Schizosaccharomyces pombe: one gene and its partner. The gene in region 1 interacts genetically with each later gene. Each region holds a gene or a part of one and is shown on either strand. Other genes may lie near its edges.

Evidence for each region.
Region 2: of klp5 (region 1) and mad3, a mutation in one rescues a mutant of the other (synthetic rescue), as found in Schizosaccharomyces pombe (one study listed by BioGRID).

What each region holds. Positions count from the first base shown.
Region 1 is NC_003423.3:1,708,581-1,714,102, reverse strand, and holds klp5 (kinesin-8 family plus-end directed microtubule motor Klp5), read left to right. Parts: upstream 1-1,985; 5' UTR 1,986-2,181; coding exon 2,182-2,212; exon of another isoform or gene 2,213-2,268; coding exon 2,269-4,889; 3' UTR 4,890-5,022; downstream 5,023-5,522. Other genes in the region: cay1 (cactin), read right to left, coding at 1-382, 429-521, 577-828, 875-1,000; IMP dehydrogenase Gua1, read right to left, coding at 5,222-5,522. UniProt on the Schizosaccharomyces pombe protein: Has a role in establishing metaphase during mitosis. Required for chromosome segregation where it generates tension during kinetochore capturing.
Region 2 is NC_003421.2:995,671-999,463, forward strand, and holds mad3 (mitotic spindle checkpoint protein Mad3), read left to right. Parts: upstream 1-1,745; 5' UTR 1,746-2,017; coding exon 2,018-2,950; 3' UTR 2,951-3,169; downstream 3,170-3,793. Other genes in the region: vcx1 (CaCA proton/calcium exchanger), read left to right, coding at 1-216, 273-1,146; SUA5/yciO/yrdC family protein Sua5, read right to left, coding at 3,272-3,793. UniProt on the Schizosaccharomyces pombe protein: Component of the spindle assembly checkpoint which is a feedback control that prevents cells with incompletely assembled spindles from leaving mitosis.

The DNA of each region.
Region 1 (5,522 bases):
GCTTCGGGTCTATAGGGACAATATATAACTTCTCTTCACGATCCTTCATATTTGACAGTTTTTTGGCATCGGAAAAAGCTTTGTCCCATTCTTCATTATCAAGTTTATTTTTTCGAATTTGTAATTCTTCATTAAAAGTCTTTTTTAAATAAGCAATGGCCTTGTAAGATTTTAAAGAGTTTAGTAAATCAACCCAATAATCTGTATCGAGAGGGACATTGCTCTTCAATTTTTTTTGAATTTGTGCCTCAAGCTGTTCTAATTGTTCAAAAGATTTAGGGGCTAAAATCCTTTGTACTTCACCTGCTACGACCTTTAACCCTCTTGAAAATTGCCCAACTTTGTTATGTTCCATTCGAGAATTCACTAGCATTTTAACGTACTATAATGTATAATTTAGCACTTAAAGCATAAAAAATAATCCATACCTTCCAATAAGTTAGTCTACATTGGTTCGTTTCCAGCTGCTGAATATCACCAATATTTCTAGATATCTCCTCCAAATCTTCTGCTTTATAACTCTAAGTATGTTAATGATTAATCTGTTATAAAGTAAAAATAAAATAAGTCCCTTACTTGAATAACAGAGAGTGGATCAAACATGTCAACTGTTCCAAAATCAATTGAATTTTTTTCTCCATTCTCTTCCCATTCTGGGCCTGGCATCAAGTAAACGCTGACAAGAAGTTTATCTATAGGCTTAGAACGATCATTCTTAAGTCGAATAATAGCTCTTCGAAGCTGCTGTAAACGCAAAAATTCCCGTTCTTGCATTTCTTTCGTTTCCCTACTTCGCTCTTCCTCTTTCATAGCATCTCTCACTCTCGGCTAAAGGGAAGGTTAATTCAAAAACAACTAACATTTTCCTACTTACTAAATTATAATTTGCTCTTGCATTTTGATTTGAAGGTCGAAATGAACGAGGTGAAGAAGATCTCGAAGCATGCCTTTTTTCAGGTCTACTTCTGTTGAAATCGCGAGTTGAATCACGAAATGCCATAGTAATATATTTAAATTCAATGCCTTAAATACCAATATTGCTGTATGAAGGGTGCTTTCCAACAGAAGAGAATCCAATTGCTTTTTTTTTATTTGAAACAACTCAATGAGTAGGTTAAGTTTTTTTTTTTGAAATTTGAAACGTAGAGCTTTGTTATTTGATAAATGAACTTAAGGTAATCAATTACTTAGCAATAATAAGACTTATCCAACAATAGTAAAATTTATGGTTATGGCAAAGGTGAAATTTTATTGCATATTCGAATGCTTAGTAGGTAGTTCTAATTTGACGCTTGGTGGTTTGAAAGAAATTGAGCGGTAATGTTATAGCACGAAAAACCCCTAATTCATTATAGTTGCTATTGGTAAAAGTCTCAACGATATCGACTAAAAGGTGAAGTAAAACTCAGTATTTAGTACCTAACGAATATAGGAATACCCAATATAAAATATAGAATATAATTTTGTTTATAGCGCTCACTAGTCCTCTGCTTTCAAACTAATCAGATATTTAGGCCATCAGTTAATTGGCAATAAAGTAGCTAGTGCAGCAGTTGTGGTGTTTATAGAAGTGCTAGAAGAATATATACACTTATTTGATGTTCTATTGCAATTATAGGTGAAAATGATTTAAATTTGTCGGACGATTTATTAAAGTGTGATAAAAGTAAAGCAAAGCAAGAATCTTGCCAGGCATGTGTACATTATAAGTTACAAACCAAACGATAGCGATTCAGTTCAATCATCGAATTTAGTTGCCTTTTATAATAATAAAAATACTGTAAAAGCATCTATGATACTGAGATAGCATTATACACAACTAGTGAAAATGAAAAGGTAAAACAGTATTTCAACTCGATTTTAATCGTAACTACCTGTATTTGTGTTTATTGTCAAAATATGTAAATAATGTAATTGTTTACATCTTTTATTGCCATAACAACCATTCAAAACAAAGTGCGTTACTTGACTAAGAAATGTAACTTGGCAAATGCCAAACAGTCAACATTGAAGCGCACTCAAAAAACGCGTTTCTCGCTCTTTTCTACTGTTACATCTATTTTAATAGTGATCTTCGATATAAATTGCTTTTATTCAAGAAGGTTATTGGAATTGTTGTTTGCGAGTGCCCTTCTTTTCATCTGTTTTGGATGATTGCTTGCATGGAAATTTTGCTTTTCAATGTCAAGACAGTCGTCCATTACCGTTACAGGTTAGTCTTTAATGTGATGTTTTTTAAATTCATATCTTTTTGCTAACATAAAATAGTCCGTGTTCGCCCATTTAGTACAGCTGAATCTGCAAATTTAATTGCATCCTCAGATCGTTTATCATTTGGAACATCTTCTTCCTTAAGGAACCCTGGTTCAGGACGTCAAATTCGACGAGTAGTAAAGGTACTTGATGGACGTGTCTTGGTATTTGATCCCCCGGATGAAACAACGGCTACTTTGAGTGCCACAAACCGCAGACTTTCTACTTCTCAACAGAGTCTCGCTAGATTATCTAGAAAGTCAAACAATTCTGCGGGATTTGGCCGTGATCTTCGTTATGCTTTTGATAGGGTTTTTGATGAAACTGCTACTCAGCAACAGGTGTATGAGAGAACTGCCAGGCCGTTATTAGACAATATTTTGGATGGATTCAATGCTACTATCTTTGCATATGGAGCAACTGGATGTGGTAAAACTCACACCATTAGTGGAACAATGCAAGATCCTGGTTTAATATATTTGACACTAAAAGAACTTTTTGAGAGAATGGATCATTTAAGAGATGAAAAAATTTTTGACCTTCGCCTTTCCTATTTGGAAATTTATAATGAAACTATTCGTGATTTATTAGTATCACCGACCCCAAATCAAGCAAAGCCATTAAATTTACGGGAAGATGCAGACCGTCGCATTACTGTACCAGGTCTTACTTCTTTGTCTCCAGAATCTTTGGAAGAAATCATTGATATTATCATGAAGGGAAATGCTAATCGTACTATGTCTCCGACAGAAGCTAACGCTGCTTCATCTCGTTCGCATGCTGTATTGCAGGTTACGTTGATCCAAAAACCTCGTACAGCTGGCATCAATGAGGACCACACTTTGGCCACTTTATCAATTATTGACTTGGCTGGCTCAGAACGTGCAACAGCTACCAAATTAAGAGGTAGTCGTCTTTTTGAAGGTGCTAATATTAATAAATCTCTTTTAGCCCTAGGAAATTGTATCAATGCCCTTTGTGATCCCCATCGCCGTGCGCATGTCCCCTATCGTGATTCTAAACTTACTCGCTTACTTAAGTTTAGTTTAGGCGGAAATTGTCGGACAGTTATGATTGTTTGCGTATCTCCGTCTTCTGTTCATTACGAAGAAACTCACAATACTCTAAAATATGCTAATCGAGCAAAGAATATCAAAACCGAAGTGTTAAGGAACATGATCAGTGTAGATCGACATGTAAGCCAATATGTAAAAGCAATCGTTGAGTTACGTGAGCAAATTTCAGAGTTGGAGAATCGTCTCGCACAGATCGATTTGTCATCGCAATCAAATGGTTCTGATCAGGACGCTGTAACTCAATCTTTTGCTCATGAATCGAAGCTTGCAGAAGCCAGAAATTTATTGCGTATGACATTTGAGGAGACTTTACCACTGCAAAATGATACTATTAATAAGGTAGAAAAGGTGAAACATTTTGATGATTCAATTCGCGTACTTAAGTACTGGTTATCCTGCTATGAGCGAATACTTCCGAATTCCGCAGATGAACGAGTATTTTTAGTTCGTTCAAAGTTAGAATCATTGTTAACTCGTCGTGCAGAGATCATTGCTGATATAGATCCTGAACTTGTATACCAAAAGTTTCAGAGAAGTGTTTCTCACATTATCAACACATACAAACAAGAAGGTGCTACCATGTACGCTGATGTGTTACAGGATGAAGTTGACTTGCTAAAATCAATTATTGAGAATCAGGTTCTAGATGCTCAGAATAAAGTTGATGAGTTCACTCCTGTTTTAGAATCCCTTCTTAGAAGTTCTTTCAAAGCTAGTTCATTGCTAAAAGAGGGAGGTATGCAAGAGCTATTCTCGATACTGGAAAAGTGGTTGTTGGGCATTGGTCTTGGCGAGAAACCTAATATATCTGTCTTATCAGAAAGTTATAAGCTCAACTCAACATCCGATGATTCACGAACTATCAATCGTGATAGAGTTCATAGTTTTCCCACTCAACCCTTGCTTAATAATAACTTGCCTCGAATGTTTTTCGTGAAGTCTCCAAAAAAACCAGTTGTATTTTCAAAACGTTCTCCAAAAAAGAGGGTTCGTTTCGACGATTCAATGTCTACGTCTGACTCAGGTGCCTCCGCGTATAACTCACCCATTCAAACCTCTAAGTTAAAGAACATGAACTTCTTTAATACTATGCATATGCCTTCAACTCCTGCACATAAACGGCCTGAAAATAAGAATCAGATAGATGTTGAAATTAATCTTACTTCGCCTGTCTCCCCGATGTTGGAAGATAAACCAGAACCTGGACTTTTGATAAAAAGTCCTTTGGAGAAAAAGCAAGAAGTTAATAGTGAATCCACACAGCTTGATCAACTGCTGGCCGAGGACTCGTCAACTGACGATGTTTCTTTACCTCATCTGGACACTATTGATCTGGATGGTAGTCCAGTCCCAAAAGTTCCTGATTTGAATTTTTCCAGAGCCAATATGGACTCACCAACATTCATCCTCAACAATGAAGCTATTCACAACTTTGATTTTTCTAAACCGAAGACTCGACAAAGCCTCAGTTCATTGACTACTCTTCATCTTTCAAATCCAGCTAACATTATTAGGAAATCTTTAAGCATGGCTGAAAACGAAGAAGAGAAAGCCACCTAAAGGTCCGTATATTCAAATACGAATCCTCTAAATATCCTGTTGGGTATATTTAAAAAAAAAAAACGGATAAGCTTGATGATATGAATTTTTAATGAATTAATAACTTATTAGATTATATATTTATAAACCCTAAAATTCTCTTAGTAAACTTGCACAATTCGTTCGTAATGCACTATCAAATACAAGCGTACATATATGTCTGCCACCTCCAATGTACATAATTTTGTTTTTTTCTACCTAAGCAAAACACAATTGACTTGAAAAAAAAATAAGTACTATAAATGCAATTTATTAACTTTAATTAAATTTTTCCTAAATATCCTTATACACGACTAGTAAAGACGCTTTTCGTATGTAGCAAAACCTTGGATATCACCTTCACGGATGGCAGCGCTCGAACGTAACTCGAAGCGAACTTCATGCTTGTCGACAGCTTCATGAAGCTCATCAAGAGATTTGGTACCAATATCTTGAAGAGCGTGTTGCAAACCAGTGTAGAGATAAGGTAAAAAGCGAAGAAGCGAGCCCTTGTCGACGACCAAACCAGAGACACCTTGGGCAACACGGACAGCATCGTTTTCAGAGAAATAGCGGCCAGTAGAAGCATTCTTATTAACACCAGTACCTTCCATT
Region 2 (3,793 bases), on another chromosome or scaffold:
CGGCATGACCAAATCTGTTTTGATGTCTAGCTACTTTAACTTGATGTTGGTATTTGTTCCGATCGGCTTAATTGCAGGATGGTTTGAATGGAACGCTAAATCTGTTTTCATACTTAACATGCTTGCTATTATCCCCCTTGCATCCTTGCTTAGCTTTGCTACTGAACAACTCTCTATAATTAGCGGACCAACATTGGGAGCATTGTTGAATGCTAGGTAAGATTCCTACTTTATCGTCTTCTTTTGTTATTTTATTAACACGTTGTGTACAGTTTTGGAAATGCCATCGAGCTCATTGTAGGCGTTCTTGCTTTGAAAAGAGGAGAGCTCCGCATCGTTCAATCGTCCCTTCTCGGATCAATATTATCCAACTTGCTTCTTGTTTTTGGAATGTGTCTCGTAACTACTGGTATTCGTCGTGAAATTACCACATTTAATATCACTGTTGCACAAACTATGATTGCAATGCTTGCTTTATCTACTGCTACCATATTGATTCCTGCGACTTTCCATTACAGCCTTCCCGACAACGCTAATAGCGAAAATGCGCTTCTCCATGTCTCTCGTGGAACTGCTGTTATTGTACTCATCGTCTATGTTTTACTTTTAGTTTTCCAATTAAAGACTCATAAGCATGTCTGTCATGATCCCAGTGAAGTGGAAGAAGAAACTGAACCTCGAATTTTAGGCCTTCGTTCATCCATTGCCATGCTTGCTATCGTCACGGTTTTTGTTTCTCTTTGCGCAGACTATTTAGTAGGTTCGATAGACCAATTGGTTGAGGAAGTTAACATTTCAAAAACTTTCGTTGGTTTGGTCATCCTTCCTGTTGTAGGAAATGCTGCCGAACATGTTACTGCAATCGTGGTATCTTACCGAGGACAAATGGATTTGGCTTTGGGTGTTGCTATTGGTTCCAGTATTCAGATTGCTTTGTTTTTAGCTCCCTTCTTGGTAATCGTCGGATGGATCATCTCCCAACCTTTAACACTTTACTTTGAATCATTGGAAACAGTTATTCTATTTGTGTCTGTTTTCTTGGTTAATTACTTGATACAAGATGGTGCTACTCATTGGCTTGAAGGTGTTCAATTACTTGCTTTGTATGCGATTGTTGTTCTCGCCTTTTTCTACTACCCTCAATAAATTTTGTCGTTCCCTCGCTAGTTCCTTATTATGTCTACTCTTATGTGCTTGATATACTCTCTTGATTTCTTTGTGTTTTACTTTACGAAACTATCATACCGAACTTATTGATTTCTTATTTTTTTATACTAGATTTTTTTTTTTTTTGGTTTCTGTTACAAGGATATTTTGCAGACTTATTTTTTAGTATGCAAGTGTTAAATTATGCAGAAATCTCCCATTTTCGCAATGACTACACAACTCTAAATTTCTATTGCAGGTCAAGCCAATATCTGCTTGTTTACAGTAGCTTTTTAAGTCGCTCATTCTTCAGTCTCAGTTTCATGTGTCTTACCAGCTATGAAAATAGAAAATTAATTTTTGAATAAACTCTTGTAAATCGTTGTTTATAAATCTTCATTTTGTTTATTTTTATTAGTTGTTTTGTAGGTTGTGTTTTACATGATTTAATAATACAAGCCATTAGTATGTGAAGTGGTTAATTTTAATTCTTCTTCTGTTTCTGTATATTCGAAGAAACAGAAAAAACTTCTTATCTCTTTCATTGGACTCTTCCAGGCGTAAGTATGATACCCTCCCCCAGCGTCAAGTTGGCACTTACCTTCTAATTTACGCACAATCTTTCATACATTCCTACTCTTGCTCTTTGAGTGTTGACACTTTTAATTTTATACAAAAGCTTTCAGTACACCTTCTATTAAACTATATACTGGCTATTTTCGTTCTTTCAATAGAATTGTACTTGTCTAAATAAACTTTCCAATACTACTACACTCACATCTCCTTCTTTGTTTTATTTATTTTCATTTAGTGGAAGGTATAGGGTTCTCTAGAAAAGGTTTACTAATTTTTTGGAAGACATTGACTACAAATGGAACCATTAGATGCTGGCAAGAACTGGGTGCATATGGATGTCATTGAGCAGTCCAAGGAAAACATAGAGCCTAGAAAAGCTGGTCATTCAGCTTCTGCACTTGCAAAATCTTCGTCGCGAAACCACACCGAAAAAGAAGTTGCTGGTCTGCAAAAAGAAAGGATGGGCCATGAACGAAAAATAGAGACGAGCGAGTCTCTTGATGATCCACTACAAGTTTGGATCGATTATATTAAATGGACCTTGGATAATTTCCCTCAAGGTGAAACAAAAACTAGTGGACTGGTAACATTGTTAGAAAGGTGTACTCGAGAATTCGTACGAAATCCGCTTTATAAAGATGATGTTCGGTATTTACGAATATGGATGCAATATGTAAACTATATAGACGAACCGGTTGAATTATTTTCTTTCTTGGCACATCATCATATTGGACAGGAGTCCTCGATTTTTTATGAGGAATACGCAAATTATTTCGAGTCTAGGGGATTGTTTCAAAAAGCTGACGAAGTTTATCAGAAAGGAAAAAGAATGAAGGCTAAGCCATTTTTGAGATTTCAGCAAAAGTATCAGCAATTTACTCACCGTTGGTTGGAATTTGCCCCACAATCATTCTCTTCAAATACAAATTCGGTTAATCCTTTACAAACGACATTTGAGTCAACAAATATCCAGGAAATATCCCAGTCTAGGACTAAAATTTCTAAACCTAAATTTAAATTTTCTGTTTATTCAGATGCGGATGGTTCTGGAAAGGATGGCCAACCTGGGACCTGGCAAACTCTTGGTACAGTTGATCAAAGGCGTAAAGAAAACAACATATCGGCTACTTCTTGGGTAGGCGAAAAGTTGCCTTTGAAATCTCCAAGAAAATTGGACCCTCTTGGGAAATTTCAAGTTCATTGTGATGAGGAAGTATCGAAAGAATAACCGATAAAGAAAAGATTTAAAGTATTGGCGTTATTAGATTAACAACTATTGTACATCATGACTCCCGGAATAAGAAATAGGTTGAAACATGCGAATTTTAAGGGTTATACGAACTTAACATAAAGCATCTTATTTATACTACGATTTGCAGCTTTTTTTTATATTTTACTCTCAAATTAATTATAGTCAGCCATAAGTTAATGAATATGATATAAATAATTCTTTTATAGACAATTTATCAAAATAATAAACAGATAGCTCGATAAGTAATTACACCTCTATACAAGTAAAGCTAAGACCCCTTAGCTATAAATATTTTAACTAATGAGAAGGCCCCTCAAAAACCACAGAAGCAGCTTTGCCCAAACGATTCATGATAGCTAGCCCTTCATTTTCCTCGGAGACACCTTCAACCAAAACAAAATCAACTCCCTGCAGATCCAAATCTCGCAATTGAGCGAATAAATTCTTTGTAATTTCATGTCCATCCCTTCCCATATGCAAAAATACAAACGGACAGTGAGAAGGGAATGACTCTTCGTTCCAACGTTTACTACATAAAACACCAATCTTCTGCTTTTCCTTAGTGATTCCCTGCTCAGATAAATACTTTTCAAAAACACCGTATGCATCAGATTCTGTGTAATTGACAAAAAGTAGCACTTTGGCAGTTGGAGAGTAGTGTCTGTATTTCATACCAGGAGTTTGAGGGATGAAATCTGTTTCCATATCACTTTTTTTAGCTACGAATACTTTTGTTCGCTCCCAGGCCCCTCCAGAGCTTTGAATTTCTTCTAAACTTATGCCTCCTGGCCGTAAAATTACGGGAGGATCACAAAGTCC